Caenorhabditis elegans: one gene and its partner. The protein of the gene in region 2 interacts with the protein of the main gene of each other region in a pairwise test. Each region holds a gene or a part of one and is shown on either strand. Other genes may lie near its edges. The genes, in order: tns-1 and shn-1.

Evidence for each region.
Region 1: the proteins of shn-1 (region 2) and tns-1 interact in a two-hybrid assay, tested with the Caenorhabditis elegans proteins (one large-scale study listed by BioGRID).

Annotation. Positions count from the first base shown.
Region 1 is NC_003279.8:5,603,782-5,609,350, forward strand, and holds the start of tns-1 (Tensin homolog), read right to left. Parts: upstream 3,749-5,569; 5' UTR 3,737-3,748; coding exon 3,704-3,736; intron 1,214-3,703; coding exon 1,145-1,213; intron 1-1,144. Other genes in the region: ubl-5 (Ubiquitin-like protein 5), read right to left, coding at 4,145-4,253, 4,943-5,055. UniProt on the Caenorhabditis elegans protein: Probable phosphatase which regulates axon regeneration after injury by linking the svh-2 and integrin signaling pathways.
Region 2 is NC_003280.10:11,384,559-11,393,314, forward strand, and holds shn-1 (Protein shank), read right to left. Parts: upstream 6,307-8,756; 5' UTR 6,227-6,306; coding exon 6,167-6,226; intron 6,060-6,166; coding exon 5,790-6,059; intron 5,531-5,789; coding exon 5,429-5,530; intron 5,359-5,428; coding exon 4,770-5,358; intron 4,724-4,769; coding exon 4,382-4,723; intron 4,325-4,381; coding exon 4,052-4,324; intron 3,795-4,051; coding exon 3,705-3,794; intron 3,545-3,704; coding exon 3,222-3,544; intron 3,180-3,221; exon of another isoform or gene 3,159-3,179; intron 2,985-3,158; coding exon 2,143-2,984; intron 1,659-2,142; coding exon 1,511-1,658; intron 1,374-1,510; coding exon 1,220-1,373; intron 597-1,219; coding exon 367-596; 3' UTR 4-366; downstream 1-3. UniProt on the Caenorhabditis elegans protein: Scaffold protein that most likely acts in the postsynaptic density (PSD) of excitatory synapses which orchestrates synapse formation and maintenance at neuromuscular junctions.

The DNA of each region.
Region 1 (5,569 bases), on a different chromosome or scaffold from region 2:
CTAAGAAATTTGAAAACTTGAGATATTTGCCATACTCTTGACCTATGAAAACTTTAGAAGTGGCTAATCATTTGTGGTTGTCACTCTTATTATGTCCCAGTAATATTGGTACAAATATAGCTCAAAAGATTGGAAAAAATCCAAAAATAACAATAAAATTGCAATTGTTTAATTTACTGTCATAAAAATGGCAATTACCTTTCATAATTACCTTTCATTTTGCAAGTTCACAAAACAACATTTTTTCTACAATTTTTATATTTAAATTAACTGTTATAAAAAACTATATATGTTTGTGTTTGAACACTATAGGTGCTTGTAGCAATGTCTAAGTGTACTCAAAAAATGAATTTTTTTGAAAATTTGGTATTTTTTCAAAAGTTGGACACACATTTAGAACTATCTAAAATGCCAATAATTGATTTTTTAAACATTAATCCTGAATTAATATTATATTTAAACTCGTGAGTAGGAATGAGAACGTAAATCAAGACGCTTTCGGTTAAAGAAGTTGGGAAGAAAGACAGAAATGGGCAATGAAAAATCTATCAGAAAATTGAATTAGTGGGTCCCGTCAAACAGAAAAAAGGATTCTGTCGACGGGCGACCCCAACAAAAAACCAAAAAAATTTCGGTGAACGGAAATGGACAACTTATGTTCGGAACGGCTTCATCCTCTTTTGGGAATACTTTTAGCAAAAAAAAAATGGAAGAAAGTGAGCAAAACGAAAAAAAAAGGAAACCAAATCCTAATTTATGAGCTCATATTCTCTTGTTTCACATTGATTTATTTATTTTTTAGTTGTATTCTACTTTTTTTCCTTTTATACAGCAATTCGGCTTTTAAGAAATTTTCTTTTTATAGTATTTTGATAATATAGAAATTTTAAATTGTTTTTGTAAAAAGAAGGTAATACTGAATTATTGGATACGAAAAGTTGAAAAAATTCGGTTGGAGGAAGATAAAAAGTGATAAAGTCGACATGAAGGTTACCTAAATCCTGTTTTTGATATCAAGCAAGTGAGAGGGAGAATTGCGTAAAGAAAGGTGACAAGGTGACAAAGAAAAGGTGACAAGATGATTTATTCTGTGCTAGTTGTGGTTTGTAAGGGAAAGAAACAAAATGTATGTAATTTGACCTACAAGACGAAGTTGGTCCTCGCTAATTGTGTACACCTCGTAGCCAGCTTCATTGTTGTATTTGTTGGATTTCTGAAAAATTAAGTTTTGTTCTATTTAGTAGGTTTGCGGGAGCAGTAGAATTCCTAGACACTCAAAAAGTGAGGAAAACGATTTCTCCTATGATAATTTTGGAAATCATCCAAATTGAATTTCACGGTGGTTCAGCTTTTTTTCAAACTTGGAGGAATGCTCGTATTCACTCAAAAAATCCATATTTTTGGAACATTCGGCATTTTTCTAAAACATTGACTGAAAATTTCAAAATGCCAAAAGATTTTTGAACGATTTTTTAGAATATATAATCAAGTTGGAAGTGTATTTAGTCTATATTTCTGCTCATGGTACTACAACATTGATAATAAAATTAACTTGAAGATTTTCAGTGTCTCTAGAAATCTAAAATTTGTTCTCAAAAACTGTTTTTTAATCGTAGAAAAAATTTAATTTGTTCGATGAAAACCAAAATAAATTCATTTATTGTCAAAAATAAATTTGAAATCTATGTGCCTCATTTTTTCCTGAAGTTACGTGTCTACTCTCATATAATAAATTTATCCAAAGTGCCACAATGGAGTAGCTTAATGCAAGATTTTTCCAACTAAAAAATTATTAAAAACAGATAAACTTTCCTGATCACAAACTTATTTAACTAGTTAAAAAATTACTCAAAAACCAAATTAACATTCATATTTCCTTTTACCCTTTTAAATCTTTTCTTTCATACCAATTTCTGTTCATTTTTTAAATAAATTCCAATTCCGTTTTCCAATCAAATGTACATTTATACATCAATTCATATATGAATCGCAGAAAACGACCAAAAAAAACCAAAAACTATCACTTTTGGTTGTTTGGCGACACATAGCCACACAAAAAAGCGTGTCGGCTACCTTTTCTTGTCCGTTTTGATATTATATATTCAATATAAAATGATCTACCTTTCTTAGCTGTGTACCGCCCGTTTTAACGAGGAAACATTCATTCGAACACCTGATTATATCGGAAAATGGGTGTGGCATTTTGCTGGATTGAAACAAAGTTGCTTAGTTTTACAGATTTGGAATTACTCTGATCGTGGTAGAACCCACACTGTTAAAATAGATGTTTCAATATTTGAAGAAAGTATTATACCAAAATCGGGACAGCTTCAGATCAGTGTTTTCATAGATTGTGTGCAAAATTTAATTGAACCTGCAAATTCATGTTTTTTTTCTAAATTTGATTATCAGAAAAGCCATGATTTACAGGGTTCATACAGTTTTCTAATTCAAATAATTTTGGAAATTTTATCATTAGAGCTATGTTTCATGTTCAATGAACTTTAAAGTTTGCCAATCAAAAATGTTTCAGAAGCAATCAGAATTGATAGAAATCAATCAAAAAAGAAGCATTTCCTATTTCCTTCTAATTCGTCTAATTTCCGGTATTACAATCGACGCCGCACTAACTAATTAACAATTTTCTTCTTTTTCTAATAGAAAACCTGCGCCTCTTGTTTCTTAAAGTACTTCAAATATTTATAAAAAATACATGGAGCACGTTATAATGAAAATTTGTGTTCCGGACTCGGAACGGTCCAAATATTTCTAAAAGTACAGTAACCCATTCGGATCTTCGGGTTTTTCTTTGAAACACTTATTCGAAAAAGGATTGTTTGCTGGAATACTATGAAGTTGGGATTTACAAGACTAAAGAAAATCCATGAAAATCGCATGATGGGTTACTGTACTTCTTTAAGGCGCACGCAATTTTGCCCTACGTCTCATGAGTTTCTGAAAATAGTCGATTTCTGAAAAAAAAAAAGTTGTTCTTTTTCCATTCTCTATCTCACTTCTCCACTATTTTGCTTGGAATGTGCTCAGAACCTCACGATTGTTTCAAGCCTCTTCCGTTGGGAGGTAGGGTGTCCACTATTTGGAAGCCATCCAAAACGAAATAGTACTGGAGACGAAGAGACGCAGAGAAAAGGTAAACGGGCCGCCCGTACTGTTTTTACGCGCTCCGAAGGGACACATAGATAAATAAAAAAGAAAATGGAAAAGAAAAGATGATGAGCCCTCCGAAGAGAGCTTATGTCCTTCTTATTTTACTACTGTTGAAGTAAATACAAGGGAATGACAAGAGAGAGAAAAGAACTAAAAGGAAATGTTTTCAAAAGTGATTAACATTGGTTTTTATTAGGTTTTATAAACTGGAAATAGAATACAGTTATACAATTGAGATTATTTCTGAATTTTCAATTAAAGTTTTTATTTTAAACAAAACTTTAAAAAATAGCTATTTAATTCAAAAGCTGTGGTGACCAAAAAAACGAACGGATAATCCAGATTTTTATTGTGAAACGAGGTCAATACGACTGCTTATTGATACCATATGTTTGAATATTTCTATTTAGAGAAACTTTTTTTTTAACTTTTGAGATATTTTTTTATTAATTTTCAAAAGTTGTTTTATTTTTGTATTCTATAAATATTTCATTTTAAGCTTTCGGGATTCAAACTTTTCAATTTAAAAACGTACCCTTGAAGCACAGCACAGAGCTGCAGCAGCCATTGCCCTTGGTCTGAAATGTCTTTTAGAAGTAATATTTTTGAAAATTCAAAAAAAAAACATCTGCAAAAATTAACTATCCACTGATTTTTCTCTATCCACACTAAACTGTTTCGCGCAAACACATTGATAGGCGAAGAGAATTAGAGAGAAAAAGAGAAAAAATCGGACAAAATCTTTTGGGTCGAACAAATGGGCGGAGCCTACTCGGGTGGGAGCGAAGAAAGAGGGAGTGGTCAAACAAGACGGCAGAAATTAATGGGGTGGAAGAATGAATATAAGATGTTTTTAAAAGTGCATTTAAATCAAGAAAGTGTTGAAATTTATTCGAAGTCAAAAAAAATTAAATTGAAATTCATGAAAAGTTGAAAAGTAAATAATTGTTTAAAAAATGAAATGAATTCTGATGAATCATTGGTAGTAGAGCTCGAAATTGAATCCCTCGTGAATCTCGTAATCCATCAATGTGATATGATCCTTGTAAATGGTGTACCACTTTTTCAACACGATCTTTTCCCATCTGAAATTTAATTGATTTTTTTTTATTAAACAATAAAAAATGTATATTTCATCACCAAGAATGGCGGTCGAAATTTATGATCAAATTACAAAAAAATCAATTATTTAATAAAACACAGGGCTGGGAGGCAAGTTTTTTTTTGCAAAGTCGGAAATTTTTCGTTTTGCAATTGTTGTAAATTTTTAAATTTTTATTATAAATTCTGCAAAATTAAATGCACTATTTTAATGTCCTAGAACTATTTTGACATGCAAGTAAAATCTATGAAAATGTTATTAATGTTTTTTCTCATGTAAAATATCTTGGAAAACTTTGGGCAAATCGGCAAATTGCCGTTTTTCAAATTTTCAATTTGTTTCTAATATATAAAACATACGAAAATAACATATGCGAATAGCCGCATGAGATGGCAAAACACAGAAAAATTGTATTTTAAAACGCGATTTCCTAGCTCGAGATCATTTTAATAACGACTTTTTGTGCCATTTTTGATTTTTTTTAGTTTTTAAGTTCTTTTTTTCCTTTCAAACGTTTTAACTTCTAACTTCTAAAGTCTATAAAAAAGCTAAATTCTTTTTTTTTCAATATAATTGATTTTCAAGTTTAAGAATTCAGAAAAAAAGATTGTGGGATCATCAGTCAATTTCAAAAAGATTATCAAATTCAAAAAGGTAATTTTCAAATCTCACCGTGTTCCAGTTTGTGCAGCGATCAACTTCTTCAAATCTCCAATTGTATCTGATGGATTGCACTTGATTCGTACTTTTTTTCCGAGTCGATCGTTTACTGTGATTTCAATCATTTTTCCTGAAAGGTCAAACAATTATGTATAATTTAAAATATTCACAAATTTCTTAAGAAAATACATGTATTTTGCAAGAAAGCAATGAAAATTCGGTATAGAAAAACATTAATGCAATTGCGCAATAAATAAATATAACTATTTCGAATGTACGTAAAAACACACAACTCGACGCGCAAATGCAGACTTGCAATGTAATCAGTAAACTTAAAGGCGCATGCACCAATTATTTTTCAAGAACTCAATTCTCGCGGCGAGACTCAACCCTTTGAAACTTAAAATTAAAACTTACTTTTTTTATTTGAGCGTATTTAAAAACGAACTTTTTTAAACATAAACTGCTTAAATTTTGCTATTTTTTCCAAAAATTAATCTCGGAATTATAAAAAAGCGCAAGTATGGTAAAATCTGCAGTTTTTGAACATAGCGTTTCACACTTGCGAAAAACCTCTTCTGAATACGTTTATTGATTAATTCGTAGAGAAAGAATAATTTCCAGTTTATAATCAGCTCT
Region 2 (8,756 bases):
TTCAATTTGTAGTAAAGAAATTTATCAATGAATCACCGATTTGTTCATGAATCTTGTTTGAAAAATTAAATTTCTTTCAATGCAAATGCAAAAATTGGGGAGCAATTCTACGAAAAGGCATAGAATCAGTGAGGAATAAAATATATATTAAAATATAAAAACTATATATTTTTTGTATTACCCTAGGACACCGAAAAATGGAAGAAAATTAATGAAAAATGATGATGAGCAGGATAAAGACACGATGGTCAATTAGAATTGGGTTTCACTATCAAAAACAAATGAAACAATATTATATACAAATATATAAAGCCAGCTACGCGGGAGAAAATCGAGAAAGTAGAAATGAGGGGGGAAAATCATAAATCACTGGAGGAGGCCACGGAGAGCTGATTCAATTATCTGGCGATGAGCAATTCGGGTGACACCGAGCTGTGTAAATCGAGACCGATCGCACTGGCGAAGGCATCGGCCATTGATTCGTTGACTTCGAAATGCTGGTGTATATTCAGAGAGGTGTAGTGATGAGAGCCAACCGATGACGTCATCCACCGACCAGACATCTACCTTCTTGTGTTCGAATGATATTTCACTACCTGCAAAGAGAGGAAATTTGGTAATTTGTTGAAACTTAAAGGAATGAGCCCCAAAATCTAACAGATAATGATTTGAATTAACAATTTTTTCTTTTACAAAATATCCAAAAAAGAAGTTTCCTTCAAACATATTTCAAACTAGAAATGTTAACAGATAAACTGAAGCAAACAATTCAAAAATGAAGAGTTACACTGAAACAGAACAAACGAAATTAAGTAAATTAAAAAACCAAATCAAATTGTTTTTTTAATATTTAGAAAACTAAATATTTTGACAAAAATACTATTATAGTATAAATATTTTTACAAGTTTACAAGTATTTTTACAAGAATACAAGCGTAAACAAATAAACTAGATAATTCTCAAAACTGCTCTAAACATTTATAATGATTTGAATTGAGAATTTGCTAAAAAAAATGTATCCCGAGAACACAACCAGAGCATTCCAAAAACCCCATGTTAACCAAAACTAGACCCCAGACAGATTTCATTCTCCCCTTTCCTCTTAGATTCATAAATTAATCTCCAAAATTTGTGAGAACATAAATTAAGTGAGTGTGCAAAAAGAGTAAAACTAATGGTGATGTCAAATGAAAAACAAGTTGGAAGAAGAATCTCTTACAGCGAATCTCTCCATCGCTATCGCCTGTTCCAGAATCCGGATCATCATCATAATCGACAGGTGGAATGACATGAGATGGTACCACGAAGCATCCAGGTTTCGTTAGATCAACTGTTGATGATGATGACGCAGTTGACGACGAGGCAACAGACATCTGAATTGCAGGTTTTAGGTTAGAAATTGGGCACAAACCACACATGAACAAATTAAACATTCTTTCACACCATCTTTTTTTTGGGGTTAAGAAAAATGTTATATTGAGAAATCAGTGCAGGGAAAAATGGGTCTTACATTGTCCTTCTGTCCGTAATTATCCTCGAGATGCTGAGAGATCAGTGTCACTCTTTGAACATTTGGAGAGTGATCAAGTGAGAAATGGGGTCGATGATCTTTTTCTTCCGATTCAGATGGTTCCAGTGACGTTCGAGAAGATGTGTACCTGAAAAGAGAGGATTTATTTAAGTTGTATGTAAGCTTCAAGATTGAAGATGTTGAGCTACGGAAGTTCGAGAAAGCAGTTAGCAGTTACCGTGTTTTCTCTATTAATATTGTACTTCGATTGTTCAACTTTACCAGCTTATATCTCAGTTTTCGGTTGTTCTACACAAAAATTGTCAACTGACTAAATATTTTCTGATACTTTTTCTATAGTTTCATAGTTGAACATTTAATGATATCTTCTAAATGAACTGAGATATAACTGTTCAAAGTGAAATAGTGGGAATATGGTTAAAGGTACTATGAAAGTAGGCAAGAGACACGAATAGACGCCAAAAGTCTCAGAATGTTTTGAACTACATTCTGACAGACTTTTTTAAATGTTCCAAAAATTAGCAGTTAGAAATAGCCAATTAGCAAAAATCGGACACAACCAATAATTATGCAACCAACGAGCATTTTTCAAATGAAATAAACTCACTTACCCACTGTCCTTCTTATTAACTATTCCAATGTTCTGAATTCCTTTTCCACGTTCTACAACATTTTCCCGAACAGTTTCTCGAAGTGATAATCCTTCGAATCGACTTTCTCTCTCCTCATCCTCATCGACATCGTGAGCTACTTTACTCCGCCTCTTTGCCAACGCATTCTTCAAATCCATTTGAAAATCTGTCGTGGAGTTGTTGTTATTATTGTTATTATTACTGACAGAAGCCGCCGATGTTTCTCGTGGTTCTGCTTTTTTTAATTGAACTGATTTCAAGGCATCTGCTGATATTCCTTTTGAATTGCTCATCAAAACCGGAGCACTCGCAGCCACATGCATCAAACCTCCCGGAGGAGGTGGTGGAGGTGGTGGCGGAGCTCCAGATGAGATTGGAGGCAATGGAGGAGGTGGAGGAGGTACTGAAGATGTTGATGGAGGTGTGAACTCAACATGTACCATCGTTGGCTCGCAGTGTGGCGGAGGAGGTGGTGGAGGCGGTGGTGGAATCGATGACTGCTGCTGCTGAATTGGTTGAGGTGTTGAAGCTGATCTTGGAAGAGATGGATGTTGTTGTTGATATTGGTGGTTCTGATGATTCTGATGTTGCATCGGTGGAGGAGGTGGTGGAGTTTTCGGCCTTGACGTTGGTCGGAACGGCCTAGAATATTCACTCCGCTGCATTGAAGAATCTCTCTGCAAATCCGGAGAGATATACGACGCCGGTGGTGGAGCTGGCATCTCATCTTCATCGTCAAATGAATCAAATGAGTCCATTCGAGATAGTTGAGGTGTGCTTCGACTGCTACAGTTGTACTCGAATGTGCTAGTTGTGGGAGCCTGAAAAATTCTACTTTCTCAGTGTGCTCGCTGTTGGGAATTTTGCTCTGAATTGCTCCAAATGACATGATATTTAACAAACAAAAAAGAAAACATTTAAGAAAATCGGGTTAATTTTTTAAATTTTTTTCTGTTTCAAAATGTTTTTTAACTTTGGCATTTTGGCATCTTTAATCTAGTTTCTCCGTAATTTAGAGCAAATAAATATTCCGATTCCCACATTTTTCTAAAACTCACCGCTTGCTCGAAAGTCGACCTATTCAATCCGGCAGATGAAGCCACCACATTCCGTTGACCTTTCCTCCTCTTCATGTCAGAAACCGAATTATACTTCTTTGACGAATAACCCCCATTCAACGACTCCTGATCATATTGCATTTGATATGGTGAACCTTGCACCGACGGTACCCGCTGTCGAACCATCAAATTCTCCAATTCCGCTGCGGATATCCTCCTCCCGCTACCCGGCCTTTGCCTGACTGACGCGTGACGTGATTCCGAGTAGGCGTTCCTGATTTCATTTGGGGCATAGTAATCAACTCCATGCGCATCATGCGTGTCTGAAAATAAAATGACTATGCTACACGAGACCGAGAACAAATCTATAGAACAGATAACACATAATTAGAAAGCTGATCTCTATGTAAATTCTAGATTAACGTGAACAGTGAATTAGAAAGTTAGAAAAATAAAGTAAAAATAAAACAAAAAAATTCGAACCAAATCTCATCCGATAAACACTGGACGCTTTTGTAGACGAGTAGATTGCTGACGGCGTGGGTGTAAAAACCAAAGAGTGACGAGATGATGCTGGAAGTGAATGTGAGTGAATGGTGACGGTGCACGGATTAGAAAACAATTTGTACTTGAACAAAGACTACACAAAACTAAAAGCGTGCGAATATGAACGACGATACGTTGAAATTATCATTGAGATTTGGGATGATAAGTTCAAGCTTACACTTCAAGCCGAGTTTGTGCAATATCAAGATCATCAAGATACTTAACTCCCAATATGAACTTCTTTCAACCCAAATCTCAACAACACTCTATTCAACTTTCTTTACCTGTTGGCGGTCGATGCACAATAGTTCCTCCCCTACTCATATCAGCTACATCGACTGTTATCACTTTCAGTGTAATCGTGTCACCGGCTTGCTGAATGAATTCGACGACTTCATCGTGTGAACACCTTCGCACATCGATTCCATCAATTTCCAGCAAGTAATCTCCTGGCCTTAATCCCGCGCGAACCGCCATTCCGGACATGTCGACACCTTCAAAAAATTGAAGAGCCGGCACTTGAGCAGTTGGCTCGAAGTTCAATGGCATGGCGACATCTGAAACAAGAACTATGAGAAAATTATTGAGCAGTTACATAAGAAAAAGGAATTTACGTTTAGCTCCTCTCAAAATGAAACCGAATCCCTTGACACCACGTGGAATCACCAGAATCCGAGCGATATTTGTCTCGTGTCCAGCTGCAATCATTCCACCACCACGCATCGAATCCATTCCAGACCGTCGCATCGTACCGTACTCTGATGGGGTGATGGTAGTACGGGAGGATCGAGACGGGCTTGGCGATGGAGCTGCAGACATTGGACCTTTTCGTACACTTTGGGGAGTACGGTAGACATCCTGGCTGCATATTGAGGATTGGGACATCGAACGTCGGCGAGTGATGGTTGAGCTGAGGCGTCGGCGAGTTGAGTATTGAGGAGTGCCGCGATATGGTACTGGAATTTAGATTTTTCAGAGAAGTTAAAAAAATGACTCTCTTACCTGAAGATTTAGGATTATGTGCTTGAACGACATCAGCCACACCAGGATTTCCGACAATATGCGAAACATGTAACGCAGTTTGTCCTTGCTTGTTCACAGCTAGATGATCAGCTCCCCGAAACAGCAGTACTCTTGCACATTCTGGCCTATTGTTCACTGCACAGACATGAAGAGGACTATTCCCATTTACATTTTCAGCATCGATCTGACCACCGAAATAGAGTAAGTGTTCCACATGTTTCGTTAACCCATTCTTGCATGCTTGATGAATCTCGTGGTTTCCGTGCATATCGGTCACACCGATGTCGGCGGCTTCTCGTAGAAGAATCTCAGCGACTTGATCATTCGAATCTGCTGTCAACATATTATAGTAGAGCGGTGTAAGTCCAATTGGATCACGATAGTTTGGGCTTGCTCCAAGTTCGATCAAGGTTTTTACATTCTCGAAGGAAGATAGAAATGCGGCTTTGTGCATTGCAGTTTGGCCTTCTGAATTGCGAAAATCCACGTGTGCTCCGCCACCAATAAGGGATACAATTACAGCTCGATTGTTCGGGATTCCAGCAGCCAGCGTTAATGGGGTTTCTCCCTGAAATTTTGTGAAAATTAAAATAATTTCAAGATGCCCGGCAATCCTAGAAACATCCACAAAAACTCACCTGAGCATCATGAAAATTTGCATCAAGTCCCTGCGAACACATCTTTTCCACTTTCTCGTTATTCTTCTGCTGAACGTAGTCCATAAACTTTTTGAGTTGGCCCTGCAAAACGAGAACGATAAGTATCTGAATTGAGAGGTGCGCGCGAACACAAATATTATTAGTTTGTGAAGAAAGGGGGAAAGATATGCATCTGATGGAATATGACGCATAAAACACCTTGTAATTATACAAGGTTTTTGTCAGTTTTCGATCAACATGTTGGATCGGAAGGAATTGAATAATAAGATGGGATTAGAACTAGAACATTTAGAACCTGGGAGGTTTTGGCATTGAAAGTTGAAAGAGAAGTAATCCCTACCTTCGTGTGCATTGCCTTCAGCTGCTTCTCGTCAAGATTGAGCATCTTATAGACTCGTTTCTTATACTTCAACTCGAGATACGGAACACAATCAGTGAACGGATAGTCACGAATGGTCCGATCCTCGAGAAGAAACTTTCCGGCTCGTCCATCGCATGGAGGAAGGAAGAGCCCGTAGTTGAAAGCTTGCGGAAGAGCTTGCGGAAGGGTGGCCAATAACTTGCGTTTCACATCCCAGATGAAATCGTTTTGGGTCACCGCAAGGAACTTCTGAAATTGAGAAATTGTAGAAGGATTATGGAACACCTAGATAAAACATTTTGAAATTCTATGGTAAGTTCTGCAAATAGTCACAATTTTATTTTGCAATTGCTCACCCGAACGTTAAGCTCCGGAACGAAGATCTGCAAATTAACGGTGTCCTCCTCTTGATTCATCGTGAATGCTTCCGCTCGGACGCCTTTGCTTCCGATGATGACACTAGCGCATCAATATGTCTCCGGACTTGTACAACACTGTTAGAATGAAGTTACCACTATTAGCTAATCGAACAGAAAGAAATGCAGAGGAAATAGAGAAATTAGAAAAAAGAAGAGAAGAAAGGCGATAACTTTGATGTATTTACTATTGATGTCAATTGGTGGGACATGGATCACAAAGGGGGACAGGCAACATTTTGCGCATGTAGGAGGTGCTGATCATGGGTAATAAAATTGAACATAAGGTCGGGTTGGTCGGGACAAAAAAAACGATGGAAACTCTGGGTAGAGATAGGTAGGTAAATGGTTTTTTGACAGATAGGTTTTTTTGTAAAATTTCTAGTTCTTGGTTGCCTTGGTTTAAAAGTTCGAGCTAGGGCGATGACGGGCGATTGTGGGCGAAAAGCCAGCAACAGGCTGCCTTCACACATGCCTATGTGCCTGCCTATTTGCCTATATTCCTATACGCCTACGTGTCTGTTTGAAAAACGAAGAAATCGTAGAAGTCACAAAAAGTGTTGCCAAATACAATAGCGTCGAGTTTTAAAATCTGCACTTTATTGAAATTAAAAAGTCTAATAATCAAACCTATAAAGTTTTAGAACATTTTCAAACTCGAATCTATCAATGTTTCCGCATCTAAAATTCAAGATCCACAAGTACTATGCAAACTTGAAAAGATGATGGAATTCTCAAAAGACTTATAGGTTTTGCCATTCGAAAAGAACACTCGTAATGGAATTGAGGAAGCGAACAGAGGAGAGAGAGCGCGACTCTTTTCTCCGTACTGTCGGAATAATGTGAGAGATAGCATTGAAGATGTGGAGACGCAAACTGTCTATAAGAGAGGCGGAAACTGGCTTCACTTCTTGGAAGGATGAGGAGAAGAAGCTTGTGAGGAGAAGAGGAAAACTGACAGAGAGAGAGAGAGAGAGAGAGAGAGAGAGAGAGAGAGAGAGACAAAAAGTAAGAAAACGAACAGTGAATGCACGAAGTAGTAGTATTGAATGAAGACGTAGCTGTGACAAAGAGGTAATTAAGTATGTACTCAAATAGTTTGTATGTTAAAGGAAAAAAATGTAACATTGTCCTCAAAGTGTCTGAAAGTTCAATGTGAATGTTGAAGCGGTGTTTGAAACACATAGGAGAAGGGTACATATTAAAAATATGAAATTGCACCACATTACTTAACTTTAAAAAATTATATCTTGGTGTATTTTAATGATATCAATAAATTATCGAATACAAACGATAGAAAAAAAATTGCAAATATTTCGTTAGTTAACAATTTTTGATTAAAACAAACGGCAACTGAGATATAAGATGCTAAAGTTGAACAAAAAAGTGGAATGAGAAAATATGGTACTCAACTTTGACAGCTTGTAACTCGGTCGTCTCTTAAAATTAAAAAAAAACTTTTTAGTTACGTAAACATGAATTTAACAATTTGTTCGTTAACAAGTCGCGAATTAAATGGAGAAACTAGAACAATTTTCTCTGAATTTCATCTCCAAATGGTTTTAAAGCACCTCGAAAAATGCGATAAAACTACACAAATCTCGTTTCCAATTTCAAGTGATAAACGAGATGATAAGACATATGGAGATTAAGGTAGTCAAAGTAGATGATCCGTACAGCTTATTGCAGGTAGGCTTAAAGGTAGTGAACAAGAATTATCTAGGGAGAGAAAGAGAGACGTCTGGATGAAAGGAAGGTGACTATTGTAAGCTGACTCTTACAATTGAGTCAGAGACATGTTTCCGCCGGAGTTTACGACCTTGGACACAAAGTTCCAGAATCAAGGTAGTAGGGAGGAAACTGGGGGAGGTAGGGATGGGTATTGTAAAAAAATATATTAGTCATTTTGTGGTGTCAAATCAAATATTTACTTTTTGATTCCCCCCTATTCAGAAAAAATCTGACACCTGATAAGAAGGATGGCAATGAACCTTGGGGAGGAAATGAAACGGAACACAGTTGAAGGCCGTCTTTTTGAGGAATCTTGGCATTTTGAGAGGAAGCGAATTTTTGAGGAAAATGGGAGATTCATGAGGTGGGGAACAGGTGCGAGTTTGAGTTTCATGATGGAGAGGAGAGAGGAAAAGAAGAAATTTGAAATTTTTGGAGAATTTTATGAGATAGGGCAAAAAAAAATTAAAACAATTAAAATTTATGTGCATTCTCTAATAGAACTGCACCCCAAATATCAGTGAAAATACGGCGAGTATAGATAATTTAAAAAATTAATTTATTGAGCAGAAACTAAATTTCAAAGTTGTGCTTTTTCAGAAATTATTTGAAATCGAAAAATTGAATGGTTGAGGCTACAACTTTCGAAACACTAAAACCGCCAACTGTAGTGATTTTCAAATGTTCACTAATAGTATTGCACCGCGCTACTTCACTTTGAACAAATATATCTCGGTACATTCAAAACATATCAATAAACAATCAACTACAAAACAATAGAAAAAGAAATAACAACTAT